Oryzias latipes: one gene and its partners. The protein of the gene in region 2 interacts with the protein of the main gene of each other region in a pairwise test. Links are inferred from orthologs where the notes say so. Each region holds a gene or a part of one and is shown on either strand. Other genes may lie near its edges.

Region 1 (3,890 bases), on a different chromosome or scaffold from region 2:
GTGGCGGCGGCGGCGGTCACCGTCACGTGTCGGTTTTCTCAGCTGATTTCCTGTCTCTCCCCCCCTTCAGGGTTCGACGCCAGCATCGGAAAGGTGGTGAGCTCCGAATCCGCCACAACGCAGCGGATCTGCGGGAAGCCCATCCTGGACAACAATGCCGTCAACCTGTTCTCCAGCGTCCTCATCGCCCTCTTCCTGCCCGGGATGGCGTGGGGGGCGTGGCCTCGATAGATGAGCGCCTCACTAAAGACTGTAGGTTCTGATTAGAAGACGAATCTGCTCAATCACGTTAGGAAAACCGAATTTAATGAGGAGCGTCGCCGGGACAAGAAGCTCCTCCTCCTCCTCTGTGCTGGTTACCATGGTGATCATGTTTTACCAGAAACTCTATGGGAGGTGGAATAGTCTAATAAAGTTTACAGTTGGTTCTTCGTGACTTTGATTTTTTTTTTTTTCCTGAAAAGAAACCAGCGGCAAACAGACGGCGCAGAGAGCGGCGAGTTTCCAGAGGTATTCCTGTTTTTATTTCAGAGTGTCTGAGAGAAAAGGCACTGAACCAAACCGGAAAGGGGGCGGGGCTTCACATTCACACCACCAACTAGGAAAGCCGTCGGCATGCGGCGTCTCTGCAGAGCCGTCAGTTCCCAGCGGCCTCAGGAGCAGAGCGTCATCCGCTCTGCAGAGATCATAAGCAACCCGGAAGCAAAACGGCGTTCCACGGAAAACTAAACTCCAGCAGACTTCCTAGGAGAAACGCCTTTCAAGAAAAACAATAAAATCAAGCCTGTGACTTTTTCAAATAGTTAAAAAATGCAAAAATTGTGACATTTTCTGATGTTTCAGTGCCGTTTGGTGGAACTCCAGTTTCATGTTAAACATTTGTACACAAATTGATTGTTTCTGCAGCATTTTGTGGGATTTTTTTTGCTAAATTTTGTGGAAAATGACTAAAATTTGACCAAAAAAATGAAAGTTTTCAACACAAAACCATTTTAAATTAAAGGTGAATTTTAACAAACTAAAAAATTAGAAAAATTATTTAGAATTTTACTTGTCAATGACATTAAAAACAATAAAATAATAAAAACTTGACTGAATTTACGTGGTGGGATCAATATTTAGATCTTAAATGTAATTACAATGTTTAAATTAAAACGTATTAATTCCACAACTTTCATAGTAATTTTATTACAATTTCATGCTTTTATGTAATCTTTTTGCTTTCAAACTAAATATTTTTGCATGAAATTGAAGCCAAATATTTCTGATTTTTTCATTTGTGTTTATGACTTTAAAGTTACTTGGTCTTTTTTTATAGATTTTAAATAATTAAAAATATTTTATTGATGCTCTAAGAAAATACTGATCTCCACAGAAGAGTCAGAATCTCCAACTCTTCAGGGGTTTTTTCTTGACGCCGTTTTTCTTCATTGAACGGAGTCGAAAAAGAAGATGAAGGTTCTGGATCAGAGACCACGGCCGGCCAGAGGGGGCGCTGTCTGTCAGTCTGTACAAACACACTCACGCACGGGGAGGGGGGAGGACGGGTGGTGGTGCTTCAGGACGACAGGAGGAGGGGGGGCGGGGGCAGAACCGGGAGGAGGGCGGAGCATCAGGTGGGAGTGTGCGGCGCCGTCCGCTCACAGCTGGTCCCTGAAATAGCCGAGCTTGGCGAAGGACATCTCCCTGCGCAGCTGCATCACCTCCCAGAACATCTGCTCCACTGCAGACACAGAACCCGCAGAGCCTCCGTCACAAGCGCTCAGAACCTCTCCAGCCCACATTTACATTCTGGACTCGGCCTCACCGTCCTGCTGCTTGACCAGCCCTTGTTGGATGTAGCGAATGTAGGTGAAGAAGTTGCAGACGGCTGTGATCTGAGGAGAAACAAACTTCTCAGGTGAGTTGATGATCCTAGGCTACGTTCACACTGCAGGCTGAAACGACCCAATTCCGATTTTTTTGCCCCTAAGCGGCCCAATTCCGATCTTTTCATGACAGTCTGAATGACACAGATCCGATCTTTTCAATTGCGACCCAGGCCCCGTGGATTTGCCGTCCTGATTCCGAATTGTAGCCGTTCTTTTCAATTGCGACCGCCGTCTGACCGGCCAGGCGACTTAATTCCGAACTGTACGTCATCGACACGCAACAAACGTCATCATTTTGCGTTGAAGTAGGCGGGAACGAGAACGTAAACATCAACCATGGTGGACGATGCTGCTGAGATCAGTCAGTGGAAGGGAAGCGAGATCCCCGATTGGATTAATATTTGGGCTGATCGCTCTTTTCAGGCCAAACTCCAGGGCTTTTATTGCAACTGGGCGGTTTTTGTAAAAAATTCCAGCTAAATGGCAGAGCGTGGTGTTGAACCTTTCCCGCGATTACTTTTTTTTTCTTTCTCCCCTTTGACCGTGCTCAAGCGCAGGGGACCCGAGGCGATCCTCCTCCTCCCTGTTCTGATCCTTAGATTCTCCAGAACAGCTTAATAAAGAGTCCATAGCATTTATTCTGGGGGAAACCTTTTATTACCGTCCTCCGTAACACACAACATGAATGCGCGCCCACACTGCCCCCCCCCCCCATATTCTCTATCGCGTCACGCGCTTGCACGCACACACACACACGCGGGGGCGCGGCCCCAACACATACACATTCCTCTTCCACTACAGTGGGTACAGACGATCCCGACTCCATTGCCTTCTTAAAATGAGAAGATTGTAATTGTGCTGCTCCTTCGTGAAAATAAATGTAATATTACAAAAAGAGCTCCGCTTTTGACAACACTGTTGTTGACATCCATTGTTAACGTTGGCTCCGCAAACAACAAGTGACGTCGTTCACCGTTGAGTATTCTTCTGGCTTCTGCGCATGCGGGTCTCGTTTGGGTCGTGTCACGGTCACACTGGAGATCACAAAAGTTCGGATTTACTTGGAAGCGTGAACGGTCTAGCAAACAATTCGGATTTTTTCAAAAAATCCGAATTGAGCATTAAGCCCTGCAGTGTGAACGTAGCCCTAAATGCTTTGATATGTGCAGCTCTCCTACGCCCCCTGGTGGAAGATTCTGAGTCCTGCAACGCTCACATCCACTTCAGCTTCAACCTGTTTGCAGATGAAGCTGTTCGTTCCTCGTTTCTGATGAAACCGACAGCCCAAAAGCCCGGTTCTGTTCTGTCCCGTCTCTGTCTGAGGATGTGGGGTTTCTTCTGCATCACCACGTTCAGAACATTTTACTTTTAAAACAACGACTCAGAGATGAGGACGGACGTAAAGCAGCAGAGGCTCAGACATCGGAGCCTACAGACTCCATTAGAGCAGCTGAGATGTTACGTTAAAAAAATAAGAAACTGCACCTTAGAGGAGGAATGAACGACAAACAACACGCGTCTCAGAGGAGGAACGACGGCGCCCAAAAAAGGACGCAATGAGGAGGAATAAAGCTGCCTAAGAGGAGATACAACATGCGACTCAAAGGGGGAACAAAGGCGTTTTAGGGGAGCAATAAAGAAGTCTCTGAGGAGGAACGACGGCGACCAATAGGGACGCTAAGAGGAGGAATGAAGGCACCTAACAGGAGGAACGACGGCGCCTTAGAGGAGTCCCAAAGCAGCTGTGAGGTAAACCAAAGTGTAGTTTGTGTTTGTACTCACTTTGTATCTACAGAAGGGGGAGACGTAGTAATAGCTGGACGAGTCTCCAAACTTGATTCTGTGCTTGCAGGTTTTGGTCTGACCACTCAGGGCACATTTTCTGTCAGAGATCAGAGAAGGAAAACCGTTTAGTTTCAGGAGAACGTGAACTGAACCCGCTCATCAACCAACACCAGGAAAAGTACGAGTCGAGGAGAAGAGGAATCTCTGTCAGGTTGGCCTGCAAGGAACCTGGAT
Region 2 (4,305 bases):
TGGACCTAGATACAAGACATGATGCTGTGCTGGAGCGTTTACTCGCGTCAGAGTCTCATGACTAGTCTACACCACCAAGTCAAAGTTTTTATTTCCTTTTGGCAGACATTTTTGTCCTCATGTTAATGACATAACTGCTGAGAGAGTTGGGTTTGAATGCGTTTGGTCAAGCAGACTTTGGTTCGTCTACATTTCCAGCAGACACTCAACTACAGACTAGACGGACCAGCCTTCATGTTTGAATGAAGCAAATGTTCCCCGTTTTGTCAGATTAGAAGACTGACAGAACGTTGACCTCGTGACCTTCTCTGGTACAGCACAACTGTCTTCAGATCTGGGTAAAGGTACTGTGGTGCACGTCTGCCAGGCGGTCCAGCTCGACAATGACGTCAGAGCCATCACTGCTACCAAATTAGTTGCAACTCAATCTGATGGATTTTTGTTTTTCTTTCCTGGAAAATGAAGGCTGCCATGAGTGTGTGAATGTGACTGTAAAGCACTTTGGGCCTTTGGGTAGACAAGCACTATACAAGTGTTCATCATTCACCATTTCCACAGACATGTCATTGAAGTCTAAAGAGTGAGGGATTCTGTTCTATGGTCACATTGTTCAAGACCAGCTGTGCTCTGGTTCTTAGAACCAGCCCAGAACCAACAGTCTGGTTGAGGATCTCAAACATCGGCGTCCTGGACCCTCCTTTGTACCTTGTTCAGGTTCTGCTCGATCTCCATGATGTTCCTCTCCACTTTGTCGGCGTTCTTCTGCAGCTTCTCGACCAGAACGCTCAGCTCCGTGGGGGCGGCACTTCAAGACAGACACACATGCGGATTATTTAGGCTTTTCAAGCAGCAGAGATCAGCTGGAAGCCACTTTCACGCTTCATGCCCTGCAGACCCACAGTTCAGACCACAGCCTCCAGGAGGGCGTGGCCGGGGAAGGTTACAGCTGACATGTGAAGGAATCTGGCCCTTCAGGTTGCTTCGTAATGCCACCCAGCAGACACTCCCTGTCAGGCCACACAATGAGCGTGCACGTTGACTCACAACATGCACCTCCTGTAGAAACCCACAGAACAGGTCTGTTGAGCCTGCACGTGCACGTTGTGCACGGAGCCCAACTGTCTACAGCCAAACTGACAGATCGACTAAAAACAACCCGAGTTTTTCTGCCTTCAGCGCTGAGAGGCGGCGTTAGAAGACAGAAGAACAGAGTTCTTCCACAAAGGGGCCCAATGTTTGTTGAAGACATAGCCCCCCCCCCCAAACTGCAAAAAACTTCTAGACGTCGTGAATTGAAACAAAATGAAGAACAGCCGCTGCATCCGGTTTGTTTTCTGCTGCAGGGTTGGATGAAGAACTAATGTGTTGCTTTCAAAATAAAAGCGTGTTGACTTTGAAGTCATTTGCACCGACTTAACTCCGCCAGCTGGGGGGGGGGGGGGGGGGGGGGGGGGGGGGGGGGGGCTAAAGTATACAATACATGGAGTGGCAGCAGGTTTGGTGTGGCGCTGTGAGATGACAACACGTCTGATTCCCCCACATTCCCCTGTCAGGCCGGACGGTGCGTCTCACAAACCAAACTTCAGAAATGAAAATGCTGAAGGTCACACATGTTCACACCTCCAGTCATGGATCACATGCAGGTCAAAGGGCTGAGACTGGACCTTCTGTTCTTCATGCCACCGTCGGCCAACCACACTGGTAACCATGAGGCCGTGCAGATGGCGTGCACTCGTCTGCGCCTCATGAAAAACAGACAGGGCGCCTATTGAGAAGCAGAGCGGCCCGTTCCCTCCAGCAGGTGAGCACAAACGCCGTCATTCAACGCTTGGCACTCAGAGACGAGTTTGAACAGGTGCCGAGTGCTGTGGAAGCCGCTGGCAGAACGTTTGTGTAGCTTCATCCAAGGGGGGGGGGCTCCTTTCACACAAAGCTGATCTGCCAAGGTTGATGAAGGATTCGGCGTTCCAACAGACACCAAAGGTCTGCTGAGAACCACAACCTGGTTCAGTTGCTCTCTGCTGATGGCAGAAAGGTTTGAAACCTTCCAACTCAAAGTCAGTAGCTCTAAAGCCCCCCATGCCACCCCCCACCCCATTTTCCCTCTTTTCAGGGACAGGAAGCTCCCTGTCTGGACTCTTCTGCAACGACACGCCTCCTGTTGAAGTCCTACACATTCGATGGGTCTGGGAATCGTGCAGCGGCTGAGAGCTCTGTCCTGAGAAGAGGGCGTGGCAGCAGGAGCAGGGTGGATTTCACAGGGATCCACTCCACCACAGCACGGAAAGATCCACAGGAACACTGCCTCAGTCCCTGCAGGACTTTGCTGAAGGCAAAGAAACATCTGTGTTCACATGGAACCCCTGACACAGACCCCAGAACGGGTCCATCAGCCCAGGACTCGGCAGCAGGACAGTGGATCTCCTTGGACTGCCATAAAGTCCCACTCTGGACTCCAGGAAGACATCAGAGTCCAAATGGAGAACCTTCTCTAAACACCAGAACTGCTGAACAACAGAACCCAGGAGAACATGACCTGATGACGGAGAATCACAGGATCGGCGCGCGCACCTCAGCTGTTCCTCCAGCTGCAGGAGCGTGCACGCGGCCCTCGATTCCAGAGGTTTGAACCCACAACCAGGACAAAAATCTCCCAGACTAACACGCGCAAGACTCACGTGGGTTTGGGCGGCGTGACCGCCGAGGACTTGCTCTTCTTCTTCAGCATGGCGGATCACCTGTAAGCTCCTACAACCAGCCGCTCGCGGGATCCAGGTGAGACAGAATGAGGTGCGCTGCGCTCGCGCCGCAGGTGTTGTTTGAGGGGCGTGTCTGCGCGTCCTTCACAATCAATGTCACCGAGGCGCAGGCGCGACGCGCACACCTGGCTGCCAACAGTGACAAGCCACGCCCCGAAACAACTTCAACATACCTGTAGCACCGGGACGGATGGGCGGGCAGAACACGCCTGTGCGCGCGCGCGTGCATGGATGAGGTGTGACCGTCAGGACTGTGGTCTGTCCTGTGCGCGCGCGCGTGCATGGATGAGGTGTGACCGTCAGGACTGCGGTCTGTCCTGTTTCACCTGCGGTCAGAACGCAGCAGAGATCAGAGATTCTCTGAAAGGTTTCAGCCTCACCTGAAGCCGCAGAAGGCGGGAGTTCTTTCATGGAAAAGCCTTCCGTGTCACGTGCCTGTCGCCTCTATGGGCTGTTCTGTTTTTACAGTTAAGACAAAGTGTCTGTTTTTTGGGAATTTGCTGAATTTGGTCGTGAAACCAATTTATGACATTTGAATTAAACAACAGCTTAAGGAAATGCTTTCTCTGACCTCTGACCTCCAGGAACACACCATCTCCAGCATTTACAGAGGGATGGATCTGGGAGAAAAACTCTTCTTCCCTCCTTTCCTTTTCCGTCACACAAACATTCTTCAAATATGATTAAACTGAATAAAGTTTGGCCTGGATTCCAAAAGGGGGTTTATTCAGACATACCTCTGGTTTGTCTGTAGGTTCATAACCCCTCTTGTTAAAGTAAAATATGTCCAACACAAGAGGCCCTCAGTCCTCTTCTGTCTGCCCAGCTGTTGGACAGGACAAGTTAAAAAACAAAGTGTGGGACTGTCATTAAAACAGAATGATCGGCTCCTGCCTCTTCAGTGTTACTGGAAAACAGATTCCAAGCACAGATTCTAAGGATGCAAAAGGATGATGGGATTGGTTGATCAAAAACAACCTGAAAAGGACTGAAATCCATCCGTGAAGCAGGAAGAGAAACGCCTGAAACCACAACAACTTTGTATGAAACGCTGCATGATTCTGAATTTGATTTGATTTGAAGTGTTTTATTTCAAGCAATCAAAGCAAGAATAATGACCAATCAGCAGTGATCCATTCATAGAGACGTATCAATGACCCCAAACGCAGAACGAGCTCTCATGTCTTCATAAATCCGTCTGTGGAAAGTCGACGCCGGTGCCAACCTTCAAATACCAACGGATTTCAACTGATGTGAGAAAATGAAAGCGGTTCAGCAGGACAGTCTTCCTCCTGTTCTGTTGCTGGTTGAAAGGTTTTGCCTTTGGAAACGTTCTCATGTTTCAAACAGGAGCAGTATTGTTTGTCATAGATTCCTGTTTTACATTTAGTTTTCTCTGTGGAGTTGATCATGCCTGTTACTTTTGATTTCTTTTTGCTCACAGTCCCTTCTGATTGAAGAGCTCCCGTTTCTTCCTGACATGAACTTTAAGGCTAAACTCCAAAAGTCTCCGCTCTAAAATGTCAGAGAACTAGTTCTGGAGGAT
Region 3 (3,969 bases), on a different chromosome or scaffold from region 2:
ACAAAATAAGCGGTGAGTAAAAGGTGAGTATGATCAAGCCTACTAAAACAAACACGAAACGTAAATTGTTTGAATTAAGGCCAACAAATACTCTGCACCCACACAAACAAGGCTTAAAACATGTTTAGATGCATCTAAATACAATTTTTCTTGTTCCGTCTGCTTACACTCAGCTCTCACAGTTTGACAGGTTTAACTCAAACTCAAACTTTATTTATTTATATAGCGCCTTTCATTTTGGTTAAAAACACAAAGCGTTTAATCATTAGTGGAAATAAGGGGGAAATATTTGTGTCATTACACAACAGACATTGACCCCAGAAAGTAGCTCAAATGTCATCCGTTCCAAACCAACCTATCCCGCATTACTCACATTATGGATTGCACAACTTGAGGGTGTCGACTCATGCCCAGGTAGTCATTGCTGCACCAGACGGACACCTCCCTCTTGTCCTCCAAAGAGCCAGTGAAGTCGTCAGCCATCGGAAACTCCGTGGCCAGACGATTCACCGTCTTAAACACGCGGTACGTGTGATCGCTCTTCTTCTCCTCAATTTTCTTCTCAAAAAAGTCATCGTACTGGAAACGGGACACTGTGGCAAAACAGGAAGACACAATCTCAATATAGAAAGCAAGATGACAAAGCAAGATGGAAATTTTACCCAACTTTTGACACAAAACATGAATGTAAAAACTGTTTAGCAGTAGTAAACATGAGATTCAGCCACCACTTCCACTCATCTAGAAACAAGAAAAACAGAAATCCTACTTCTTCCAGGCATGTTGTCCTGAAGCAAGTGGCTGACTCTCTTAGGGCGCTGCTTCAGGAGGGTCTTCATTAGGTTTGACTGCTCCTCTGCTTTTTTGGTACTGGCCAAGGATGTCTCCTTCAACTGGGTGGATGAAACTTTAGCTAGACAGTTTAAAGAATGAAAGAATTAGTCAGCTTATATGCATTGAGGAACAACCGGCAAAAACATGAGGATTGTGGGAGAAATCTTACCTTTCTGGACGGTGCGCACTTCCTGTACATCCTCCTGGAACTCCATGGCAACCTGACGGAACACAGCGCTGTTCTTCTGCTTCATTTCAGCAGCCAGAAAGGGGCATTTTGAGGCCACGTTTTGGCCTTGAGATGGCATGGGATGGCCAGAAGGCAGTTTTGACTCCTCTTCTTGTTTAGGAGCTGCAAGAGGGAAAGATTTCCAGTTTATTTGCAGTGTTCCAGCATGATAGGGAGAATATTTTATTTGGATCCTTCTTTCTTCTTCACCTTCAACGTTATTTGAACCACTCTGCTGATGAGACGATGAGGAGCAGAGGGCCCGTGCCATGGAAGGGGCCATGGGTTTAGCAGCGAGCTCCATCATAATGGGGCATCGTTGAGCATATGTGACCAGAGACTTCTTTGTCTGCTGGAAGAAAGCCTGAGGGACACTGGCCAAAAATGGGCATCGACGCACTATCACTTCCATGGTGAATGGGACCTTCAACTGCCAGGAACTCTAAAAGAAAGATATGAGACTTCAGGAAAAATGCATAAGTACAGCAGACACCTTTGATTCACAGAGGTGTTATAAGAGTTGATAACAAAAACATAATACATATCAGGCTTCTGTTTCATTCATCGGTGAAGATAAAACAGAATAAAGTTTGATTGAGAGCAGAAATATGGAGGGGGGGGGGGGGGGCAATGCCAATAATTTCAGATGAGCTATAGTCAGAATGAATTGATGACCTTCAGGTTTCAACACAACAACCTAAAAATGTTACATTAGTGTTGTTTAATGATTATCTTTCATGGTGTTTGTATTTTTTAAGAAAAAAAATGGTGGGTTAATAAACAGCTTGTTCAGTAATAATAAAACATCTTCATCACACATCATCTCCAACTTAAGAGATGTTTTATTTTTTTTGTTTTTTGTTGTTAATTGTTCCCAACTTGATCCCTTTGATTTTTGCTCCAGGATTCATGCAATGACACCTAAAATAAATCTATTAAGATCTTATATTCACAAAAAAGTTATTAGCAACAACTTTAAATATCATTGTCAAGCCCTTCTTGGGAAATAACTTTTATGCAACACTGGACAAAACACATTCCTCGGCTTTTTTTTTTCTCCAGACAAATCTTTATTAAATAATAGTAATGCGTTGATCTCATTTAGCTGTTTTATTTCCATTACTATTGTTGTCAGCATTTTTTATAATATAAACTACAAAGAAAGACAATTATATTAACTTTAACAACGGATCTTTGGAATTGATATAAAACATTAATATAGAACAACAACAGTATGTATGTAAATATTAATAAAGCTATAGATAAAAGCCTCAGTTGCGGTTAACGAACGATTATTTTTTATTACTTAACTTAATGCCCTACGAGGAAGTTATCTAAAGGAATTAAATGTTCTACATAAATTAAATAACTACTGAGTCTGGTTAAATCTACAATATCCACAAATCAGAAACAAAATCGTAGTTCGGGAAGTGATACTGTAAAACAGTCACGATGATGATCACGACAGGCGACCTCTCGTGATCCTTGCCGGGTGACCTAGCTTAACGTTAGCCGGACTGCTAATATTAGCTAAAACGTCAGAAACGATCGATGAGGTTCAATAAAAAATGTTCAAAGACTTACCTTTTTATATGTCTGCGGAACCGCGTACTCCTTTTTGTGGTCTCAGAACCTGACAGGCTTTTCAACTGATGTAAGACCTGAAAATGTGAACTGCTTTTTTAAGATGAGATATGTAAGCGTTACCCTGCACTGAGGACGAACGATAAGGACGACTGAGCATCGGTTGTATATAGATGTCCAACTCTCGCGAGACAAGATGGCTTTTCTTTTTCACTTCCTGAAACGCTCCGCCCACATCTAAAGATAACACATATGACTCATTTTACAACAGGAAATGCAAACCTTAAATACAAATTGTATACCTGATTTTTTTTTACATACATCTATATTAATTTACTAAAGATGTTTATGCTTAAATATTTTTTTTGTTATGAAAACACGTATGTAGATTTAAAAAAAAGACAAACTATAACTTTTACTAAGACATAAAACAAAAATCAAATTCGAGTATTTTTATTTTAGAAAGCGAAAAACAGAAAACGCAAACAAGCATTACAACATCAGAGCTTAACATCAAAGGTCACTTAAGGCAATCAAAACCTTGTGTCTACAAGTCATCAGGCAGCCCATGTGAATTGCAAATCCTCAATCTCTTTTTCTGTACAGAGTGATCTTTAAATATATTTAAAGGATAAAATACTGAGATCTGTCTGTAAACATGTATAGCAATGTGTTTTGATATGCCTAATTCTCATCAGAGAGAAATTAAGATTTGGTTGTATTGTTCATTTAAATATGTTCTGACATTTACATTTGGACTAAATGTGTTCTATATTAATTGTGGTGTGGCTTTAAGTTTAAAAAAGAGCCCCCAGACACAGTTTGGCTACCGATCTTAAACTCTTGGTGTGCTGTTTCCCCCTCTCTTTTCTTCTGAAGAGAACTTGAATTCTTCCGCTACCTATTTATATTAAAAAAATGGTGATGAAGGGGATACTAGAGCATGGTCGTGGATGTATGATGTACTTCTGCACGTCTTGAAACATCTTCATCAAAGGTTTCTGATTAAATCCAAAGCCTAAGTGAAACATCCATTTAAGTATTTTTAGGCCTCTTAATCTTCAGCCCAGGTTGTCCGTCTGCTTGTGGCAGCTCACATGGTACACCGACCATGCACAAGTTCTTGATACAAAAAACAAAAAAACGTATTAGTGTTTGTCCCACACTTTGAGCAACTAGTTCCTTCTTATTTTTATTTATTGTTGGTGTTATTAAAAATAAATCAGCACAGAAATGGTTCTGGTTCCATTAAACACAAAAATGCTGTGTAGCTCATGCTCATAGCAGTTTTAGGAGGCTACGGGTGCAACACATGACTTGTG
Region 4 (4,109 bases), on a different chromosome or scaffold from region 2:
GCCTGGCTAACCTCATCCAGCTTATTTGACATCAACAGGAAGTGAATGTGACTCGACAGCCTACGAGTCATATCAGAACTGCCCCGGGGCTTGATAACATCTGTCATTTAATATCTGATGAGCGCGTCTGTTATTGCAGCTTCATTCTCACTTCCATCATTGACTAAACCTTCGAAGTCTCTTGAAGCCGCCGCTTGTGTTTACTGCACAGTGGCTGGTGTTGTCCCACACAGCCACCGTGTGAAGCACTGCGCACGTGGATTTGTAAAAAGCACACAGACAGAGCGCAGTTAATCACTCTAGCAGTTGGGATCACGTCAGCATCTTAAGGCGGACTCTGTGACACCGGCATGCGTGCTTTCATACCTTCATACAGACCGGGAGCCGTCGCACAAACCAAAATGGCGACACTGCACACAAGTCTGACTCTGGAGCCACAACAGAGATCTGGCTGTTTTTAAACCGGGAGCGACCTGTCGCTGCTGCGGCTCTGCTGTGTGGAAAAGCTGGGCTGCAGCCAGCAGCCACTGAATGAACCCAGTACCCTGACAGCGGGTCACATGATCTGCAGTCCGGTGGGCCACCGCCTGCCTGGCTGCCCTGATGTCAGAGACGCTTTCAATCATTCATTTTTCTATCTAAACCTTTGCAGGGAGAGGGGGGGGGGGGGGGGGGACCCCTTTCAATACTAATCAGTGCTATGAAGCAAAAGATGTCAAATAGTTTGCTTGTGACTGGGAGGACAGAGACAACCGTCCCATGTGTTAGAGGCAGGAAGCAAAAAAGAAAAAACAAGCAGTCATCAAGACACCACCAAATTCACTCCAAATCAATAGATTCAAATCTGGTTTTCCTCATTTTTCTGTTTCCGTTTTAGTAAGCAAAACCTGGCAGCTGGTTTGTGGTTACACAGGTAGAACAGTACTCTTTTTTGAAATCATTACAAGAAAGACGAGATCAAACATTCTCCCCTGATCCTGGCAAAAGAAAACATTGAGGCAATGCTTGGTGTGCTTTAAATGCCACAATAGGAACAGGCATTGGTGTGATCTACTACACCGTACAGCGTTCCTCTTTTAGGTTCCTTAAAAAAATAACATCACCAATAATAATAATATTAAGGCTAAGTGGAGTAGTTGTTACTAAATACCAAACCACAGTAGGAGCAATCTTGACAAGCAAGAAGCTTAATCCTGTGATGACATGAACAGCAAACCCTTTATGACTCCCAGAACTGTTTTCACTTTCAGGCTGTCCAGACAGGCTGTGCAGAAGTGTACAGATGCAGCTCAGAGCTCAACTTTGAGCTCTTCTCTGATGTGATTGTTTTTGTTTTTTTGTTTTTTCCATCAAACGATGGAGAAGCCAATTTGAAGGCAACCTGACTCACCTGCGCAACAGCCTGGACCATCTGGGAGTCTCTTTTGCAGAAACCAAACGTTTCAAGCAACAACCCTCTGATCCAGCATGCAACCGGTGGCACATTTGCGTCAATGAAGCTGCGAGGGCATTGGGTGGGAGGCTGCTGGTATTTTCTAAATAAAACAGGGAGAGCCCAGCAGTCACTGGCTGCATCACCACGCCAGCTTGTTGCGTCCTCTCCGGGGGTCACATGTCGCGTCCCCTTGTGTACACAAACTGAGGCAATGCAATCTCATGACCAACAAAACAACTTTGACACTCAAGAGAACAGCCCGCCTGGGGACAATGTTCTGGAAACTTCCAGAGACGGAAGTCAAACATGATTTCACACTTCCATGAAGGCTGTCCTGTTCCCATGTGCAGCACCTCCACATCTATAAGACTGCTGGGGAGGAAAAAAAAGAAAAGAAAATAAACTACCTTTGGCTAAATGGGATGCTTTTAGTAACAGTCATCGCTGTAGGTGGAATAATGACAGTGAGGGCAGTAGAAACCATAAAAACAAGCATTATGTCATTGAACTGATTACTGGAGAGGAAAACATGAAAATAACAGTTGAGGCCTCTCCTTGAGACCTCCCTGGTGTCCGAAAGCCAGAGGCCAAAAAACATAAAATGACTGAAAGGACACGTTTTCAAGAGTGCAGGGTGACAATTCCCAGCAAAGATTTGTTGACAGTGATAGAAACAAACCTTTAATAGCTGAAGCTGAAATGTGTGGCAGCATTTCTGAGCTCAAGAAGAAGAAGCAGTAAACAAAGTGCTAATAGATAACAATGAATGAGCTGCTCTGTCTATTATTGAGCATTTAGTTTGGACTCAACTTTTTTTATTTATTCTTTTATTTCTTTAAGGCCCAATTACGTCAATATTTTCCGTGAGTCTTCACAAAGAAACGAAAAATGAATGATTAGCGTCTGAAAAAAGTGTCTTTCTGCGGTTGGTGCAAAACCACAACGAGTTCATAAGCCCTAAACTGGAACGCGGCGATTCTACGGCGACAAAAAAGAGCCATAAAAGTGTCTCATTTCGGGGGTTTTCACTTCGCAATGGATAAAAAAAGGATATGGGGCCTAGCAGGGCAGCTTGGGTGAGAATAACCGCATCCCATGTAAGTACAATGGGGACCTACCCTGTCTGGCTGTCGGCCTCTTGCAGTTTAACCACGCGACGGAAAACGCGGCCGTTTACCTGTGCGGGAACTCAACAGCGTGTCCGTCTCATTACAGTGGGCCGTTTCGGCGGTATTTTGAGTTGGTAAGTCCTTCAACAATGTGCACAGAAGTCTCTCATTTACTCCGTTTCTCTTGCCTTTCTTCCACTACACCTCCCAAACGCGCTGTCTGCAATGCCTCTGTGGCGGCCCGGCTCTCCCGGGTCCTAGCGCTGGTCTTTTATCAGCTCCACAAGACGAGCCGTTGGATCTCTGCTGTCCCGTTTGGGAGAAATGATTTTTTTTTTTTTTAATGGAGCGGGTCTGCGAGGTCTGGATGCACTTGATGAACTCCTCTGTGTTCTATCTGGTGGTGAAGCGGGTGTTTGGACCCCCAGAGGTCCCGCTAATGTTTGAAGGGGTCCTTCCTGCAATGAATGACTTGATTCACTTCATGGAACATGAGATTCTGTTCAAGATTGATTTACTGTAGGAAGTCAGTGGTGATTCATTTTTGTTAATTTGCTGTGGCTGTAATCTTTGCTGGTATGATCACTCAGAGAAAACAACAGGTCCAGGGCAGAAGTGAAAGTGCAGAATTTGAAGGATGATTGTCAAAAGAAAATAGGATGAGGAGGAAGGAGGCTGAGAGGAAGATGCTGAGAGTCTTTGTCACAGAATAAACATGAAAAAAGCACACGTTGGAAAAAGTGAATCAAAAATAAATGCATGAATGTCACCAAATAAATAAGTTTTTGTCTCAATTTTGTGTGTGTGTGTGTTTGTTTTTTATTTTTATTTTTTATAGCAAATATAAAGCAGTTGGATAGGACGATTAAACAAATATAAAGCTGGTTGGAACAAATAATGTGTTTTTTGTTAAAATACGTATAAATCAGTAAAGACTTTAAATGTCAAGAATGATAAATATGCAAGGCTTGGTGTGGAAAAAACTTGATCTTTCCAGTAAAATATATAAAAAAAGGTACATTTTATTTATGCCCCTTATTTTCATGCACTACACATAAGTATTTACTTTTATTACATACAGTATACATTTTTTGACACTTTTTCAATATTATTATCATTCTAAAAGAGGGGTTATGCTTTTATTGTGGGAACTCTGGTCACTTAGTATCACAATGCACCATCCGTTTAAACTCCAGTACCCCCTGTTAGATGACTGGCCACGGGGGGATAATTCTGAAAACTCCAAAGAAAATAAATTTATTTTTGTTCCTGTAGAATCTCTCCCCAATTTTCATTCACGAATATAGGGCTCTTATTGACTCTGGCGCTGAACACAGCCTCATCGATCAGCATCTCCTTAAACAACTCACGTTACCCACCGGGCCACTCGACTCTCCAACGCTGCCGGGTTAGGTGGTCAACAACTTTCCCGGATCACGAATCGTTCCAAACTTATTCTCATTCTCACCTCCGGTAACCATAGAGAATATCATAGATTTTTTTTTTACTCAATTTCCTCAGACCCTTATAATTCTGGGGTGCTCCTTGCTCCAACTTCATAACCC
Region 5 (3,513 bases), on a different chromosome or scaffold from region 2:
CTGAAACTGAAATGCCCTTCTTCAGGCCTCGGTCGCCACAGTCCAGCTGTGGGTGTCTGGCATCCTGGCTGTGCTCAGGGTGCTGATCTCTCAGTCCACCGAGGACATTGTTCTGTCCCGCGTCCACGAACTGTCCCTCTCCCCTCACTTCCTGTCCTGCCGCACCATCCGCCGCCTGCAACAGCAGGGCGCCGCCCAGTGCGAGCTTCCTGCTGCTGAAACGCTTTCCAACCAAGAAGCTAATGGAGACGCACAGAAAGCTCCACCGGAGGAGACGTTTGCTCGGTAAAGTTTCCGAGCTGAAGCACCGACATGTCTTATTTTTCTGTTTTTCCCTCTGTTGACGTGTTTTCTGCCTGGTTCTAGGTTCCTCCTTCAGCTGGTCGGCGTTTTACTCGACGACATTTCCAGCAGGCGGGTGAAGGTGGAAATCACGGAGCAGCAGCACACCTTCTACTGCCAGCAGCTGGGCACGCTGCTCATGTGTCTCATACATGTCTTCAAGAGTGGTGAGCATGATCAGCCCCCGTGGTGGAGCGTGCATTACACACCTTCAGCACCGCTACGTCTGAATCCCTCATGAACCGTTTTATGATGCAGAAACCAGCTTTGCATTGCAGATGAAAAATTCCTGTAGCCACAATAAATTTTCATCAGAGTGGATCTTTAAGGACAGCCAGGATTTAACATTACCCTCATAAAACTACTTTGACTTTCAATCCGCTTGTTGCATTTGGTCGTCCTTGCAGTTGTACTTTGGCCTTCTTTTACGCCCCTCTAAAGTTACTGCTAACTACTTGTTTGGACAGATTGCTGTGATTTGTGTTGCACTGTTCATTTGACCTTCAAATGCAAAATTTTTGTAACAAGGGGAAAAAAATCCCAACAACTTCATCTTCATTGGAGACACCAACACACTTCCTGGTCCTCAAAAGTGGCTTTTCCCTCAAATCCTAAACGATTATCAAAAAGCCAAAGGAAACGGATCCCCGCTTAGTGTTTAAGGTCAAAACTATTAAATCTGCAGCTGCAGGCAAACTCAGATCCTCCTCGACGCCTGGCGAACACTTAAAAACTTTTCAAGAAGCTCTTGTAGTTCAGTTTATGTTTTCTGTCGTGAAAACCAAAATCTGCTGTCATGAAACTCCATAAGCACTCCACTCCAGTGAAACAGCCACTTTGTACTTTACATCTGACAGGACATCTTCCTCTCTCTCCAGGCATGTTTCGCAGGATCACGGCAGCAGCCAGCCGTCTCCTGAAGGCCGAGAGCGGAGGAGGTCTGACCGGTTCCGAAGCAAACCTCTTCTACCCCTTAGAGGGGCTGAACAGCAAGGTCCAGTGCCTCATAACCACCCATCCTCCGCTGGTTCTGCTGTGGTGCCAGGTCCTCCTCATTATCAACTACACCAACTACAGCTGGTGGGCGGAGGTTCATCAAACACAGAGGTTTGAACCGACACATGCCAGAGCCCAAAAAGCCTTCAAAGCAAAATCCAGTGACATTTAGGTGTGATTATGCCTATTTCACCGCATACTATCTCATAGAAAGATTGCAATGCCTTAAATCAGAGCAATTTCTTTCTCAACCTCTTTGTGTCACCACAGGCGTTCCTCAGGGCTCTATCATTGGACCCACCCTTTTCTCAATCTACATGAACAACATAGCTTTCTATGCTATAAAAATAGTTTCAGAATAGTCACAGAATATAAATATCTTGGAATCTGGCTAGACAACGCATTATCTTTGTCACCCCACATCCACCATTTGCAGTCAAAGGTTAAGTCAAAATTCCTCTCACACCTCGGTCCCTTGTTTGGTTATAGCGATTTCATTTACAGATCAGCCACAAAGCGTTTGCTGAACATCATTCTGCCATTCCATTCATGCTCCCTTCAAAACCCACCCATGTACCCAGACCCTCAACTCTTCACTAACACAAAGCTCTCATTGGTCTTTCACCTCCTTCTTCAAGCCAGCTTTTGCACACTTCCTCCCCCATGTGCAACACCCGCTCTGCAAAACAGTCTCCTCATTGGTTTCTTACAGTCTGCACCACCCAGAGACTGGAATAATTCACGAAAATCGCTTAGAGTGGACAGTTTTAGAAGGAATCCTGACACTCGAAGGAGTCCTGACACTCATCCTGATTTTTATGCTTTTCTGTGCGTCTCCTTTCATTTCTCTTTCTCAAAAGGCCTTGCCTTTTGCCAGGCCAAAGTTCAAAATAAGTTTTTTTTTGTTGTTGTCTGTTTTGCCTGGATAAATAAAGATCAAATGAAAATATATTAAATATGAGATGTGTACAAATGTTGGTGAGTTTTTGAGGATGTGGCAGGGGTCACATGTTTTGCTCAAAGGCAAAGAAAGAAGAATCGTGAAAACAATCTGGTCCTTCCTTGCAGTCCGGGAGAGAAAAGATGGGTAAAACATCATTATGAGGTGTTTAAACACGTCTTTGCTCTGATATGTGAGCTCCTCAGTTTTTTCCTGTTTCATTCAGTTGTGCGGAAAGATTAGAAGACCGATCTTCTGCCGCAAAGAGAATTAAGAGGTTTTCTTTTTTTTAGTTCTGGGAGCTGTTCCCCATATAGGAGTTCTTTCCAGAGTTCCCAATTTTATTTTATTTATTTATATTCTATTTTTTGACAGGAGTATCAACATTCACACCACTATCACATTGTTTCTAGGTTACACATAATTTTACATCATGAATATGTTCAGTCAGTAATCCAGAATGCGTGTTCATCATTTTGTACTCTTCCCCCCCTTTTTTTTTTTAGGAACAAAGGACAGAACGGCTGTCAATCTTACTCATCCTCCAAGACAAAATCAAACTTGCATTCTTATCTGTTATCCTGTAGTAAAGAAGTATTTTACTGAAATTAAAGTAGGATCTGGTCTAAGAGGTCCAATATATTTGACCCATTTTGCCCACCATTTCTAGCCTTTAGCTGTATGCCCCTTTATTGCAAATGTCAGACTTTCCATAACATAAATGTCATGTGTAGTCTTATACCAATCATCTAATGTTGTAACATCTGGTTATAACCAATTCCCTCCCACCAGCAATATTCTCATTAAATATTGGTCTTCTGCAGACCGCATGTGTTGGATTACTGCTCCCAAATATACAGCAGAAGCATTAAAGGGGAGGGTTTTTTGAAATGTCGTCTCCAAACATCAAAGGCTTTTCTTCTTCTCCTCCTCAGACGCCACAGCCTCTCCTCCACCAAGCTACTGAGCTCCCACTCCTCTGGAGAGGGCGAAGAGGAAAGCTGCGAGTCGCGGTTAGCCGTGGTGAACAGAGAGATCGTACGCAGTGGAGCCTTAATCCTCTTCTGTGACTACGTGGTGAGGAGGCCTGACTGCACACAGAGCGTCTGAATAACGTGTGACGGTGATGTTCGAATGTTGGAAACAAGGAAAATTCTCTTGATGTTATGCTTCTACGCTCAGTGCCAGAACCTTCATGACTCGGAGCATCTGACTTGGCTGATTGTCAATCACGT

The links.
Region 1: the proteins of ppl (region 2) and rab3ip interact in binary tests that used the Homo sapiens proteins (3 or more experiments, as listed by UniProt). The two-hybrid records come from large-scale screens. The link is inferred for Oryzias latipes from reciprocal best matches to the Homo sapiens genes PPL and RAB3IP.
Region 3: the proteins of ppl (region 2) and alas1 interact in binary tests that used the Homo sapiens proteins (3 or more experiments, as listed by UniProt). The two-hybrid records come from large-scale screens. The link is inferred for Oryzias latipes from reciprocal best matches to the Homo sapiens genes PPL and ALAS1.
Region 4: the proteins of ppl (region 2) and akt1 interact in a two-hybrid assay, tested with the Homo sapiens proteins (2 studies listed by BioGRID and IntAct). The link is inferred for Oryzias latipes from reciprocal best matches to the Homo sapiens genes PPL and AKT1.
Region 5: the proteins of ppl (region 2) and htt interact in binary tests that used the Homo sapiens proteins (3 or more experiments, as listed by UniProt). The link is inferred for Oryzias latipes from reciprocal best matches to the Homo sapiens genes PPL and HTT.

Annotation. Positions count from the first base shown.
Region 1 is NC_019881.2:22,284,534-22,288,423, reverse strand, and holds the end of rab3ip (rab-3A-interacting protein), read right to left. Parts: intron 3,754-3,890; coding exon 3,654-3,753; intron 1,878-3,653; coding exon 1,808-1,877; intron 1,724-1,807; coding exon 1,641-1,723; 3' UTR 501-1,640; downstream 1-500. Other genes in the region: tmem19 (transmembrane protein 19), read left to right, coding at 71-231. UniProt on the Homo sapiens protein: Guanine nucleotide exchange factor (GEF) which may activate RAB8A and RAB8B. Promotes the exchange of GDP to GTP, converting inactive GDP-bound Rab proteins into their active GTP-bound form.
Region 2 is NC_019866.2:25,742,619-25,746,923, reverse strand, and holds the start of ppl (periplakin), read right to left. Parts: upstream 2,804-4,305; 5' UTR 2,729-2,803; coding exon 2,679-2,728; intron 806-2,678; coding exon 706-805; intron 1-705. UniProt on the Homo sapiens protein: Component of the cornified envelope of keratinocytes. May link the cornified envelope to desmosomes and intermediate filaments. May act as a localization signal in PKB/AKT-mediated signaling.
Region 3 is NC_019863.2:10,038,777-10,042,745, forward strand, and holds the start of alas1 (5-aminolevulinate synthase, nonspecific, mitochondrial), read right to left. Parts: upstream 2,811-3,969; 5' UTR 2,648-2,810; intron 1,506-2,647; 5' UTR 1,476-1,505; coding exon 1,004-1,475; intron 914-1,003; coding exon 770-913; intron 594-769; coding exon 374-593; intron 1-373.
Region 4 is NC_019880.2:14,666,920-14,671,028, reverse strand, and holds the start of akt1 (RAC-alpha serine/threonine-protein kinase), read right to left. Parts: upstream 2,807-4,109; 5' UTR 2,554-2,806; intron 1-2,553. UniProt on the Homo sapiens protein: AKT1 is one of 3 closely related serine/threonine-protein kinases (AKT1, AKT2 and AKT3) called the AKT kinase, and which regulate many processes including metabolism, proliferation, cell survival, growth and angiogenesis.
Region 5 is NC_019859.2:35,176,551-35,180,063, reverse strand, and holds part of htt (huntingtin), read left to right. Parts: intron 1-25; coding exon 26-285; intron 286-366; coding exon 367-509; intron 510-1,220; coding exon 1,221-1,449; intron 1,450-3,213; coding exon 3,214-3,355; intron 3,356-3,460; coding exon 3,461-3,513.